2 linked regions of the Stegostoma tigrinum genome follow. The protein of the gene in region 2 purifies or fractionates together with the protein of the main gene of each other region. This does not show direct contact. Links are inferred from orthologs where the notes say so. Each region holds a gene or a part of one and is shown on either strand. Other genes may lie near its edges.

The links. The genes of interacting proteins can lie anywhere in the genome.
Region 1: the proteins of cdc42bpb (region 2) and fam167aa purify together in Homo sapiens (co-immunoprecipitation; 3 studies listed by BioGRID and IntAct, counting the BioPlex papers as one, with this or other methods). This does not show direct contact. The link is inferred for Stegostoma tigrinum from reciprocal best matches to the Homo sapiens genes CDC42BPB and FAM167A.

The regions. Positions count from the first base shown.
Region 1 is NC_081357.1:77,765,851-77,773,909, reverse strand, and holds the start of fam167aa (protein FAM167A), read right to left. Parts: upstream 3,109-8,059; 5' UTR 2,544-3,108; intron 1-2,543.
Region 2 is NC_081363.1:39,356,329-39,363,380, forward strand, and holds the start of cdc42bpb (serine/threonine-protein kinase MRCK beta), read right to left. Parts: upstream 3,045-7,052; 5' UTR 2,420-3,044; coding exon 2,245-2,419; intron 1-2,244. UniProt on the Homo sapiens protein: Serine/threonine-protein kinase which is an important downstream effector of CDC42 and plays a role in the regulation of cytoskeleton reorganization and cell migration. Regulates actin cytoskeletal reorganization via phosphorylation of PPP1R12C and MYL9/MLC2.

The DNA.
Region 1 (8,059 bases), on a different chromosome or scaffold from region 2:
AGGACATGGAAAGCCTGGTGAACTAGGCAGAAACTCAGCAGATTAAATCTAACAATGAATAAGTTTTCAAGAAGATGTCGCTTGGGTTGTGGATGAGGTTGCAGACATGCTCGCTGAGCCGGTGGGTTTGGTTCCAAACATTTCGTCACTCTGCAAGGTAACATCATCAGTGTGCCTCTGATAAAGTGTCAGTGTTTCGTCCTGCTTATTACGTGCCTCAGTTTGTTTGGGTGTTTAGTACCACTTCCAGTTCTGTTTCTCAGTGGTTTGTATACAGGGTCTAATTCAGTGCATTTGTTGATGGAGTTCCAGTTTGAATACCAGGCCTCTAGGAATTCCCTGGCATGTCTCAGTTTGTCTTGTACAATTATGGAAGTTTGTCCCAGTCAAATTTGTGTTCCTTGCTGTCCATGTGTCGTGAGACAAGTGAGAATTGGCTGTGCTTCTTGGTGGCTTGTTGGTGTAACTTTCTTCTGGTTTGACCTACGTAGTGTTTCCTCACAGTCCTTCCATGGCATTTTGTATATTACACCGCTTTTGCCAGTTTTGGTAATGGGATAATTTATGTTTGTCAGCAGCTGTTGTAGGGTAGTTGTAGGTTTGTGGGCTACTCTGATACCTAGGGTTCTGAGTAGTCTTGTGGCCATCTCTGAAACGTCCTTGATGTACAGGAGGGTGATTAGTCAGTCTGATCATGTTGTGTCGTCCTGCTGTCATCTGTCGTCGGCAGTTAAGAGTCAACCACGTTGCTGTGGGTCTGAAATCACATGTAGACCAGACCAGGTGAGGATGGCAGTTCCTTCCTTAAAGGACATTAGCGAACCAGATGGGTTTTTCTGACAATCAGCGACAGAGTCACGGTCATCATTAGATTCTTAATTCCAAATATTTTATTGTATTCAAATTCCACCATCTGCAGTGGCAGGATTTTACTCTGGGATCCCCAGAATGTTATCTGGGTCTCTGGATTAACAGTCCAGAGATAATTGCACTAGTCAAACAGGGACATGCCAGGGAATTCCTGCAGGCCTGGTATTCCAACGAGAACACCATCAACAAACACCTTGAATTAGACCCTGTGTACGAACCACTGAGAAACTGACCTGTAAGTGGTACCAAACACCCAAAAAAACTGAGGCTATAAATAACAAGTGGGACATAACACTGATGGTTCACCAGAGGCACACTAACTATGAGGGGGTGATGAAACATTTGCAACCAAACCCACTGGCTTGGCGAGCATGTCTTAACAAAGTGAAATTTGAAATGACACATTTTAATAGAAAAAAATTAGAAAAAGCAATACAAAATAAGCAACAGAATTCAGTGGATACTGAAACAGCAACAGCTTTTGCTACGATGTTTTTAAGATAGCAGGATAGATTGAAAAGTGGCTAAAAGGCACACAGGATCCTGGGCTTTATAAATTGGCAGATAGAGTATAAAAGCAAACAAATTATTATGAATCCTGATGAAATGCTGGTTTGGCTTCAACTGTGATCAATTCTAGTACAGAACTTTAGCAAGTGTTTGAAGGCTTTAAGGTACAAGTATTATTCCAGAGATAAGGAACTTCAGTTGCAATTACCTGAATGGATTGGGGAAGCTGGTGTTCTCCTGAGTGGAGAAGGTGAGGGATTTGCTAAAGGCATTTAAGATCATGACGGATCAGGCCAGATTAGGCAGAGCACATGTATTTCCACTCGCAGAAAATCAAGAACCTTAGGACACTATTTTAAGACGAATAGCAAATCAAGGGTGGTGCGAGAAATACTACCTGGTGAGTGGTTAATGCATTTTCTTAGTGTGGTGGAGACAGATTCAATTGTGACTTTCAAACGGGAGTTTAATAAGTGCCTGAAGTGAACATCCTTGCAGGGCTACAGGGTATAACAATGGAGAGATGGGTCTGGCTTAGTTATTCTTGCAGAAAGCTGGAACGGACTCTGCGGGATGAATGGCTTCCTTCCGTAGTGTAACCATTTTGTAGGGTCATAACGTCCCAATCCTAAGGTACAGAATATTCTGGTCTAAACTTATAAGAGGTCTGCCTGACTAGTTTACTCCTCAAATATTTCATCAAAATGACTAGTTTCCCATTCTGAATCTGAAGATTTTTTCCCCAGAGTCTGCTTCTCTGCAGACGATCTATATTTTATACTTTAAATATAAAGAATATTTTGAACATTTGACAATTCGAAGTTATTAGACTCTGTTGAATCTATAATTGAGTCAATGACGGGGTTCATTTCCTTATCGTTGCAATAAATACTCTACAGAGGGGAATCCTTTGTGGTTGGCCCCAGATGGCGCACATAAAAAAAACAGATTCCGGGAAGGGGGCTTAATGGGTTAAGTGCTACCCCGCCAATCCACTTCGTTTCACCTTCTCTAACGTTCGGCACCATTTCTTCAGGTAGATACAAAAGCAATCAAAAAACAAACCCGCTTTCCCCTTACAACGGGGCGTCTGTTTTGATGAACCAGTAAATATAATCGAATGTAAACCTCTGTTCACGTAGCAAGGTAGAATGTTTGCTCACCTATATTTACCGAAACACGGACCGATGAATTACCACACGCTGCCGATCAGTCCTGTTCATGTTGTCCGTGCTGCAGGTTTCTACACTGAGCTCTGTCTATCATCTACCTGCAGTCAGCACCGTGGTTTCATCAGAATGCAAGCCGCACGTCCCGCGGGCTTGGGTGAGGGCGTGGTGGTTTGTTGGAGAAGCTGGGATATCTGCGTCAGGAATGTTGCCAGGAGAACGCAAAAGGTATTTTGCAGCCAGTTGTTCCTCCCCGTTCCTTGTCTGTGATGCAGACTTGTTTCTGTGCCTCCCCTACTCTTTGCTACCGACAGGGAATGGAACACCGGTTCTTTGGCTGGGTCCTAATGCCGTCGAATATTTACACTTCAAACTATTCACTGAAATTGCCGACACAAAGAGGGATTCGTACAAAACGCCAAGTATTTGTAAAGTATTGTTCCACTGCTTAATTGTAAAACAAGCTCATAAATTGTCAGATAATAAAATGTGAGGCTGGACGAACACAGCAGGCCAAGCAGCATCTCAGGAGCACAAAAGCTGACGTTTCGGGCCTAGACCCTTCATCAGAGAGGGGGATGGGGGGAGGGAACTGGAATAAATAGGGAGAGAGGGGGAGGCGGACCGAAGATGGAGAGTAAAGAAGATAGGTGGAGAGGGTGTAGGTGGGGAGGTAGGGAGGGGATAGGTCAGTCCAGGGAAGACGGACAGGTCAAGGAGGTGGGATGAGGTTAGTAGGTAGCTGGGGGTGCGGCGTGGGGTGGGAGGAAGGGATGGGTGAGAGGAAGAACCGGTTAGGGAGGCAGAGACAGGTTGGACTGGTTTTGGGATGCAGTGGGTGGGGGGGAAGAGCTGGGCTGGTTGTGTGGTGCAGTGGGGGGAGGGGATGAACTGGGCTGGTTGAGGGATGCAGTGGGGGAAGGGGAGATTTTGAAACTGGTGAAGTCCACATTGATACCATATGGCTGCAGGGTTCCCAGGCGGAATATGAGTTGCTGTTCCTGCAACCTTCGGGTGGCATCATGGTGGCAGTGCAGGAGGCCCATGATGGACATGTCATCAAGAGAATGGGAGGGGGAGTGGAAATGGTTTGCGACTGGGAGGTGCAGTTGTTTGTTGCGAACTGAGCGGAGGTGTTCTGCAAAGCGGTCCCCAAGCCTCCGCTTGGTTTCCCCAATGTAGAGAAAGCCGCACCGGGTACAGTGGATGCAGTATACCACATTGGCAGATGTGCAGGTGAACCTCTGCTTAATGTGGAATGTCATCTTGGGGCCTGGGATGGGGGTGAGGGAGGAGGTGTGGGGACAAGTGTAGCATTTCCTGCGGTTGCAGGGGAAGGTGCCGGGTGTGGTGGGGTTGGAGGGCAGTGTGGAGCGAACAAGGGAGTCACGGAGAGAGTGGTCTCTCCGGAAAGCAGACAGGGGTGGGGATGGAAAAATGTCTTGGGTGGTGGGGTCGGATTGTAAATGGCGGAAGTGTCGGAGGATAATGCGTTGTATCCGGAGGTTGGTAGGGTGGTGTGTGAGAACGAGGGGGATCCTCTTGGGGCGGTTGTGGCGGGGGCGGGGTGTGAGGGATGTGTCGCGGGAAATGCGGGAGACGCGGTCAAGGGCGTTCTCAATCACCGTGGGGGGGAAGTTGCGGTCCTTAAAGAACTTGGACATCTGGGATGTGCGGGAGTGGAATGTCTTATCGTGGGAGCAGATGCGGCGGAGGCGGAGGAATTGGGAATAGGGGATGGAATTTTTGCAGGAGGGTGGGTGGGAGGAGGTGTATTCTAGGTAGCTGTGGGAGTCGGTGGGCTTGTAATGGACATCAGTTACAAGCTGGTTGCCTGAGATGGAGACTGAGAGGTCCAGGAAGGTGAGGGATGTGCTGGAGATGGCCCAGGTGAACTGAAGGTTGGGGTGGAAGGTGTTGGTGAAGTGGATGAACTGTTCGAGCTCCTCTGGGGAGCAAGAGGCGGCGCCGATACAGTCATCAATGTACCGGAGGAAGAGGTGGGGTTTGGGGCCTGTGTAGGTGCGGAAGATGGACTGTTCCACGTAACCTACAAAGAGGCAGGCATAGCTGGGGCCCATGCGGGTGCCCATGGCCACCCCCTTAGTCTGTAGGAAGTGGGAGGAGTCAAAAGAGAAGTTGTTGAGTGTGAGGACGAGTTCCGCTAGGCGGATGAGAGTGTCGGTGGAGGGGGCCTGGTCGGGCCTGCGGGACAGGAAGAAGCGGAGGGCCTTGAGGCCATCTCCATGCGGAATGCAGGTGTACAGGGACTGGACGTCCATGGTGAATATGAGGTGTTGGGGGCCAGGGAATTGGAAGTCCTGGAGGAGGTGGAGGGCGTGGGTGGTGTCACGGACATAGGTGGGGAGTTCCTGGACCAAAGGGGAGAAAATGGAGTCCAGATAGGTGGAGATGAGTTCGGTGGGGCAGGAGCAGGCTGAGACGATGGGTCGACCAGGGCAGGCAGGTTTGTGGATTTTGGGAAGGAGATAGAAACGGGCCGTGCGGGGTTGGGGAACAATGAGGTTGGAGGCTGTGGGTGGGAGGTCCCCTGAGGTGATGAGGTCATGAATGGTGTTGGAGATGATGGTTTGGTGCTCGGGTGTGGGGTCATGATCGAGGAGGCGGTAGGAGGTGGTGTCGGAGAGTTGGCGTCTGGCCTCGGCGATGTAGAGGTCAGTACGCCATACTACCACTGCGCCACCCTTGTCTGCGGGTTTGATGGTGAGGTTGGGGTTGGAGCGGAGGGAGCGGAGGGCTGCCCGTTCTGCGGGGGAGAGGTTGGAGTGGGAGAGAGGGGTGGAGAGGTTGAGGCGGTTGATGTCTCGACGGCAGTTGGAGATGAAGAGGTCGAGGGAGGGTAGGAGGCCTGGGGGTGGTGTCCAGGAGGAGGACTTGTGTTGGAAGCGGGTGAAGGGGTCAGTGGAAGGAGGGTTGGGTTCCCGGTTGAAGAAGTAGGCATGCAGGCGAAGACGCAGAACGGGCAGCCCTCCGCTCCCTCCGCTCCAACCCCAACCTCACCATCAAACCCGCAGACAAGGGTGGCGCAGTGGTAGTATGGCGTACTGACCTCTACATCGCCGAGGCCAGACGCCAACTCTCCGACACCACCTCCTACCGCCTCCTCGATCATGACCCCACACCCGAGCACCAAACCATCATCTCCAACACCATTCATGACCTCATCACCTCAGGGGACCTCCCACCCACAGCCTCCAACCTCATTGTTCCCCAACCCCGCACGGCCCGTTTCTATCTCCTTCCCAAAATCCACAAACCTGCCTGCCCTGGTCGACCCATCGTCTCAGCCTGCTCCTGCCCCACCGAACTCATCTCCACCTATCTGGACTCCATTTTCTCCCCTTTGGTCCAGGAACTCCCCACCTATGTCCGTGACACCACCCACGCCCTCCACCTCCTCCAGGACTTCCAATTCCCTGGCCCCCAACACCTCATATTCACCATGGACGTCCAGTCCCTGTACACCTGCATTCCGCATGGAGATGGCCTCAAGGCCCTCCGCTTCTTCCTGTCCCGCAGGCCCGACCAGGCCCCCTCCACCGACACTCTCATCCGCCTAGCGGAACTCGTCCTCACACTCAACAACTTCTCTTTTGACTCCTCCCACTTCCTACAGACTAAGGGGGTGGCCATGGGCACCCGCATGGGCCCCAGCTATGCCTGCCTCTTTGTAGGTTACGTGGAACAGTCCATCTTCCGCACCTACACAGGCCCCAAACCCCACCTCTTCCTCCGGTACATTGATGACTGTATCGGCGCCGCCTCTTGCTCCCCAGAGGAGCTCGAACAGTTCATCCACTTCACCAACACCTTCCACCCCAACCTTCAGTTCACCTGGGCCATCTCCAGCACATCCCTCACCTTCCTGGACCTCTCAGTCTCCATCTCAGGCAACCAGCTTGTAACTGATGTCCATTACAAGCCCACCGACTCCCACAGCTACCTAGAATACACCTCCTCCCACCCACCCTCCTGCAAAAATTCCATCCCCTATTCCCAATTCCTCCGCCTCCGCCGCATCTGCTCCCACGATAAGACATTCCACTCCCGCACATCCCAGATGTCCAAGTTCTTTAAGGACCGCAACTTCCCCCCCACGGTGATTGAGAACGCCCTTGACCGCGTCTCCCGCATTTCCCGCGACACATCCCTCACACCCCGCCCCCGCCACAACCGCCCCAAGAGGATCCCCCTCGTTCTCACACACCACCCTACCAACCTCCGGATACAACGCATTATCCTCCGACACTTCCGCCATTTACAATCCGACCCCACCACCCAAGACATTTTTCCATCCCCACCCCTGTCTGCTTTCCGGAGAGACCACTCTCTCCGTGACTCCCTTGTTCGCTCCACACTGCCCTCCAACCCCACCACACCCGGCACCTTCCCCTGCAACCGCAGGAAATGCTACACTTGTCCCCACACCTCCTCCCTCACCCCCATCCCAGGCCCCAAGATGACATTCCACATTAAGCAGAGGTTCACCTGCACATCTGCCAATGTGGTATACTGCATCCACTGTACCCGGTGCGGCTTTCTCTACATTGGGGAAACCAAGCGGAGTCTTGGGGACCGCTTTGCAGAACACCTCCGCTCAGTTCGCAACAAACAACTGCACCTCCCAGTCGCAAACCATTTCCACTCCCCCTCCCATTCTCTTGATGACATGTCCATCATGGGCCTCCTGCACTGCCACCATGATGCCACCCGAAGGTTGCAGGAACAGCAACTCATATTCCGCCTGGGAACCCTGCAGCCATATGGTATCAATGTGGACTTCACCAGTTTCAAAATCTCCCCTTCCCCCACTGCATCCCTCAACCAGCCCAGTTCATCCCCTCCCCCCACTGCACCACACAACCAGCCCAGCTCTTCCCCCCCACCCACTGCATCCCAAAACCAGTCCAACCTGTCTCTGCCTCCCTAACCGGTTCTTCCTCTCACCCATCCCTTCCTCCCACCCCAAGCCGCACCCCCAGCTACCTACTAACCTCATCCCACCTCCTTGACCTGTCCGTCTTCCCTGGACTGACCTATCCCCTCCCTACCTCCCCACCTACACCCTCTCCACCTATCTTCTTTACTCTCCATCTTCGGTCCGCCTCCCCCTCTCTCCCTATTTATTCCAGTTCCCTCCCCCCATCCCCCTCTCTGATGAAGGGTCTAGGCCCGAAACGTCAGCTTTTGTGCTCCTGAGATGCTGCTTGGCCTGCTGTGTTCGTCCACCCTCACATTTTATTATCTTGGAATCTCCAGCATCTGCAGTTCCCATTATCTCTCATAAATTGTCAGTTTTTTGAAGTGTTCTTAATCGAAATTTACTAATTTAGCTCCTAAAATTTCCTATGGCCTCGTATTTTTACGTTTCAGAACGGCACCACTCCGCTATTAAACCGTACAAATTTTGTGTTCGATTCCACACAGACTCCTGTTCACTTACTAACCTCTTCGCTCCTTCTCCAGCTCTATACAATCCTTGGACTCCT
Region 2 (7,052 bases):
TGTTCATCCAGCCTCACATTTTATTATCTTGGAATTCTCCAGCATCTGCAGTTGCCATTATCTCTGATTCATTAATGTTCTTCAGGGAAGAAATTCTGCTATCCTCACCTGGTCTGGCAGATGTGTGACTCTCAGCTGCCCTCTGAAATGACTTAGTAAGCCAGCTGTATCAATCACTACAAAACTACTCATGGTCCATACTATAACATTTCATACCAAATGAAATGAAAAAAATTCAAAAATCACATTCACTCCTCATAAATCAGTGTATACAGTTACATAAAATAAAACAAAGAACTGCAGGTGCTGGAGGTATGAAAGTGCTGGGAATACTCAGCAGGACTGCCAGTCACTGGGCTCAAAATGTTAACTCTGTTTTCTTCCAGATGCTGCCAAACCCACTGAGTTCTGCCATCAATTTCTGATTCTCTTGTATAAAATTATGTTTTGACAAATTCTCATCCCTATAAAACAACTGACAAATGATGTATTTCATGCACACAATCAAGTAGGAACCCCCCAAAAGACAGACTTTGAAAAGGTCCATAAAGAGGCATGTAGTCAGATACGAGGCTTGTCCCAACATTGTTTTGTCAGTGAGTTATAAATGAAAGGGTAAGACCCTTTCTGCAGTCCCTGCAAGATTTTGTACAAGTACCTGTAAAAGGTATTCAGATAGGATTGGTGAGATCATTCTAGCTTTTTGTCTAAATTTGCTTTTTGACAAAAAAACTTATTCTATTAAGTAGTAATGTTTTATGCTCAAGCACATACAAATGTTCAATTTTAGTTGGTTCATACTCCTTTGATTTATTTTATAAAAAGGCATAAATACTCAAAAGTCTAGTTTTTAAAAAGGTGCAGCTTGGAGTCTGGTAGATTTTGTAGTTGTAAACAATATAAACAAATATTTTAAATAATTAAGACATGGTGAGAGGGGGCTATTTTGGCACAGTGATTGTGCCCCTACCCCAGGGAACAAAGGCCTGGGCTCCCACCTGCTCCAGAATATGTCATAACATGTCTAAATTGGTTGACTGAAAGAGGTGGCGAAGGTTCCTTACAAGCAAAACAATCTGCATGATTAATTAATAACATAGGAAAACAGATAAAGCACAAGGAAAAAAAAAGTCCAGAAATTAAGTATTATGTACCAAAACTGTTGTCACTGTCAAAATCTTGACTACCTTCAAGTTCAATAAAATCTCATACTGTAAATACATTGGAAAATTCGTGGACTTCTCAGAGATCACATCCCTATGACGACTAAAATACAAAGTTTCATTCACAATAAAAAATTAACTGATTCACACATGCACACACACACAGTGTATTTCGGATTATTGAAATTTAAAACTGTTCAGAAATTCTTCATTGAACATAGTCCAGTTACGTTAAAGCAGTGTGCACGAAATTAGCAGCATAGATTGCAATAAGACTCCAAACAATCATATATTGCTAGCACCACCCAATGATGTCAGATATCAAATACTATAGATACCTTCCTAGAAAAGGAACTGTGCAAGCTGCCAATCTGTTACCTTTTACCATGTGCCTCTTTTTAAGCTTTGTTAAAAGTGAACTTCAACAGATGCAATGGCTCACCATTCAGTTGTGAATTTTATTAATGACAAAGTAGACTGGGAATTGAGTCCTCTTAGCTTGTGAGCATAAGAGTGGTTATTTAATTATCAACTATTACCACTTCCCTGCAAACATATCATGCATGATCAAATATCTATAAGTTACATAATAAAATTTATTAGCTGTAGAGACGTGCGTCTTTTATTCCAATCACATGCTCACTTACTGACAGGATCGTGAAACCTGCATACAATGAAGTACTCGTAAATAAAAGGTCAAACAGACTGCAACAGCAGCAATGGACTAAACTGGTACTAACCCTTTTAGGTTATAAAAAAGCTATTCAGAAAGTGAAGCAGATGTGTGCCTGAACATGTGGAATCATTAAAACGTATTTTATTTGTCTCCTTTTTAAAAAGCTTTTTTTAAGACGTATTCAAAACATACAAACAAAACATTAAAATCGGAGTTATTCATTTAGAATTTTGATTAAACCCTACACATTCATTGTAACTGTTCATCTTTTGATTTTAAGGAGCAATATCAGCGAGATTTCGCTCAGCCAGTTCCACAGAAGTAAACAAACAGCTGTTTCTTGAATCTAGACTCAGCTCCAAGCACGATACCAATGCAAACAAGATCATTTAAGGATATGCTTACCCCATTCCAGGAATTCTGCAATGTATTTTTCCCGTCGTATAGGCGAGCTGCAACATTCGTTGTAAAGGCATATTAAAATATCCAACAAAGTCTCCACACTCATTGAACTTGCATTCATCTGAGGTCCGTTCAGGAGCAACTGCTCCAACTTCTTCAGGCGAACCTTCGCTGACATTTTATTCTCTCAAGTTTTGTTTTAACTCTCAAAATTATCGTCCTCAAACGGCGGCCGGTGAGCAGCGTCCAGTTACCCAAAAGAGATCAAAGCAGTGATTTATTTCACATTTAAAAAGGCAGGAACTGACATTTTCACGGTTTAAGTTAAAAGGGAAAAAAAACGAATACTGCGCTCAGGCCCAGCTGGTCATAATATTTTCTTCTTTATCGGCGACCACCTCCCTATAACAGAACAAGAAAGAGATCTCTCCTTCCCTCTGTAAAATCCAAGTAAAGCCTTTAGTTGAGCTGAAGCCCAGCCCCAGAAAGAGGGCTCGTCTCCTCAAGTGCGTTGTTCATCTCCCGTTTTTCCTGGCTCCGCCGAAGCTCCTGCGCGTCTTGTCGTCAGTGTGGAGCCGGCGGCGCTCATCCCGGGCTCCTACCCGGCTGTTGGCCCCGCTCTCCGGCTCGCCGCCGCTAGCCCGCTCGTATACCCGAGCTGGAGGAATATGGCCGAGAAACGGTTCGTCTCGTCTCTTACTCGGCCCGGTCACAGCTCAACCTTAAACGGCCCGGTCCGGCCCGACCACACTCACTGATCCCGACACCACAAAGCCGCCCACCGGAAACGCGGCGACGTCACCTGATTGACAGCCCCACCCCATAGCAACCGGGAGGAATCCGGAGCGCGAGTTTCAGGGCCGGGAATGGGGGAACGTATCCCTGGAGATCTGGAGATGGGAATGAGAATAAACTCCTGGATATCTGGGAATAGCAATGTATCCTCGGAGATCCAGAGCTGGGAATAAGAATAAACTGCTGTACATTTGGGAAAAACAATGTATCCTTGGAGATGCAGAGCTGAGAATGAGAATAAACTCCTGGATATCTGGGAATAGAAATGTATCCTTCGAGATCCGGAGCTGGGAATAAAAATAAACTCTAGGATACCTAGGAATAGGAATGTATCCTTGGAGATCCAGAGCTGGGAATGAGAATAACTTCTGGGGTCCTGGCAAAATGAATGTATCCTTGGAGATCCGCAGCTGGAAATGAGAATAACTCCTGGATATCTGGGAATAAAAATGTTTCCTTGGAGATCCAGATCTGGGAGTGAAAATAACTCTTGGATATCAGGGAATAGGAATGTATTTTTGGAGATCCGAAGCTGGGAAAGAAAATAAACTCCTGGAGATCCGGGAACAGGATTTTTTTTCTGGAGATTTAAAGCTAGGAATAAAAATGTCACCGAAGATTTGGAGATGTGTAACTGGGGAACTGGGAATGTGTGAGAGAGACCCGGAGCTGGAAATTGCTTCGGGAGATCTTGGACAAGGAAAGTGTCCCTGGAAACCTAAGAATGGAAAACACAAACAGAAGTTGCTGGAAAAGCTCAGCAAGTCGGGCAGCATACGTGGAAAGAAATTAGAGTTAATCTTTCGACACCACTGACCCTTCCTCGGAATGAGAATATATAGCCGGAGATCAGGGTATGTGTCCCGAGCTGGGCATGTGAATATGCCCCTGGAAATCCGGGAATGTGAATGTCTCCCTGGAGATCCGAGAATAGGATTGTGTTCTGGCGATCCAGAGCAGGGAATTCTCTAGGAAGATCTAGGACCGGGAATGTGTCTCTGGAGATTTACGAATGAAAATGGAAATATGTCCCTGGAATCTGAGAATGGGAATGTGTCCGGGATATCGGAAAATGGGAAGGTGTCTTGGAACCGGGAATAACAATGTCTCCCTGAAGATCCGGAGCCGGGGATGAGAATGTGCCCCGGGATATGTGGGAATAGGATCAGGAATATGTCCCGGGAGATCCGGAGCCAGGAATGGGACGGGTTCACGGGCGATCTGGGGACGCAAATAGGAATGTGACCCTGGAGATCCAGGAATGGGAGTGTCCCGTGAGATCCGGGAATGGAAATATGCGCCGAGAGATCCGGGAATAGGGCTGGGAATGTGTCCGGGAGATCCAGAGCCGAGAATGGGAATGCTTCACGGGGTTTTGGGGCCGCGAGTGGGAATATGTCCAGAAATGGGAGTGTCCCGGGACATCCGGGCTGAGAATGAGATTGTGCCATGGGAGGCCTGGGAATAGGATGTGTCCCGGAAGATCCGGGGCCGGGAATATTTTCTGAGAGATGGAGCGCTTCAGTCTCTGGAGTGATTACTGCACGTTGAGGACAAGGAAACAACGCTCGACAAATACGAACTTGCCTGTTCCGAAATGAGTGTACTTTGCTTTTCTGCCCCGCCCTCAGTATCTGCGCGGAATTATCCAAATACCTGTAATTTAGGAAAATCGCTTCCTTCTTTAAATGTTTACGCCTATATAAAGTCATCAACTTCAAATGTTAACTGTTGCTCTCTCTATCGATACTCTCTAATGTGTAGAGTATTCCCAGCATTATGACTGTAAATTATAAACACGATACATCCTAATAAATGTATGTGATCTAGAGCCATTACTCAGTTCTTACAGTAATTACAACATTGTTCATCGAAACACATTTTCTTGGAAACATGCACCTGAGGCTCTGTGCTAAACCTCCTTGTCTGAAAGGATAAACAGTTTGCTACAAATCTATTCCTTCATTAATCTCTAGAAAGGGAATAGTGGCAAATTGGATCCAAGGTTAGAACAGTGGTTTGAAGTGAATGGTCAGAGCATGTGTTTTGACTAGAATGCTGATTTCAGTGGAGCTCCACTAGTACTTGGTCTTTGGCTTTTCAGGTGACAGTGAGTAAGAGAGCTGTGACATGGAAGCTATCAACGGACTGGTCAAGTGAATAGAAACATGGCAAATTAAACAAATCCAAAGTGTGAGCTCTTGCATTAATAAAAGGGAAGCGTAGATGATTACCTTCCAATCACAGTCTCCTCTCAAAATTTCTAATATTAGAACACCTCCTCCCAACTACTGTCCTTGTTCCCAAGGATTCCAAGATATTTTCTCCTGCCACTTGTAGCTCCTGTTGCTTATTGGTCCAAACATCCACTTAGCCACTAAATTTAAAACAATGAAAGAGCTGCGGATGCTGTAAATCAGAAACAGAAACAGAAATTGCTGGAAAACTTTAACAGAAATCTGAGGAAGGATCACTCAACCCGAAACGTGAGCTCTGATTTCTCTCCACAGATGCTGCCAGAGCAGCTGAGCTTTTCCAGCAATTTCTGTTTTTGTAATCATTTAGCAAGCTGCTGGGCAGGGAACAACAGAAAAATGTCAACAAGATAATTGCTTAGCAGGTCTGGTAGGATCTGTGAAGTGAAATCAGAGGTAATGTTTTGGGTTGAGTGACCCTTCAGAAATCTGAGGAAGGGTCACTTGACCTGAAACATGAACACTGATTTCTCTCCACAGTTGCTGCCAGAGCTGCTGAGCTTTTCCTGCAGTTTTTGTAACCATTTAGCCAACTGCCAGGTAGGGAACAACAGAAAAATGTTAACAAGATAATTGGCATGCTTGCCTTCATTACTCAGTCCTTTGAGTATAAGAGTTGGGAAGTCATGTGGTATTTGCGTAGGACATTGGTGAGGCATCTTCTGGAGTCTTGTGCCCAGTTCAGGTCACCCAGTTATATGAAGGATAATATTAGGCCGAGAGGATTCAGAAGAGATATACCAGGATATTGCTGGGTTTGGATGGTTTGAGTTATGAAGAAAGGCTGGATAGGCTGGGCCTTTATTAGTTGAAGTGCAGAAGGAGGTTGAGAGGTGACCTTACAGAAGTCAATAAAATAATGAGGGGTATAAATAGAGTCAGTTTCAAGACTAGCGGGCACACTTTTAAAGGTGAGAGGAGAGACATTTAAAAAATACTTAAGGGGCAATTTTTTTACATAGAGGATAGTTCGCTTGTGGAATGAACCTCTTGAAGAAGTAGTGAATGTGGGTACGATTGCAACATTTAAAAGACATTTGAATAAGTACGTGAGTAAGAAAGGTTTGGAGAGATGTGAGCCAGGAACAGGCAGGTGGAACTAGTTTAGCTTGGGATTATGTTCAGCATGAACTGGTTGGACAAAATTGTCTGTTTCCATGCTGAATGACTCTGTGACTCTTGAAGTTCAACCAGATATGGGGTCTTCAGCTTTACCTGTCAATCAGTACATATTTCCAGCTAAATTGTCCCAGTTCATGACTTTGCTTATACTATCAAGCCATACTAATATTTAAACCAATACTTACAAATCATGTGCACTAATACATTGTGTCATGGGAAGATGGTGAAATTATTTACTAATTATTTACTAAACAAAATCAACCACAGAAATTCATTTCACTCATCCCTTGCACCCTACTAATGTCAACCACAAAACATACATACATCATGCCATTTTATAATTCCATGAGGTTTGGTCCAGAAGGAATTTGAGGAAGTGGTATGAGATGTATGTGTTAAAATTTCTGACTATACAAAAGATATGCAGGAAAGTAAACTGTGTATAGGACACAGGAAGGTTACAGAAAGCTACTGATAGGTTAAGTGAGTGGACAAAGATATGGTAAATGGAGTATAATGTGGGAGATTGTGATAATGTCCATTTTGATAGGAGGAAAAAAAAACATTTGATTTAAATGATGAGAGATTTCAAAGCTCCGAGCTACGGAGCAATCTGAGTGTCTTCATGATGAAATTGCA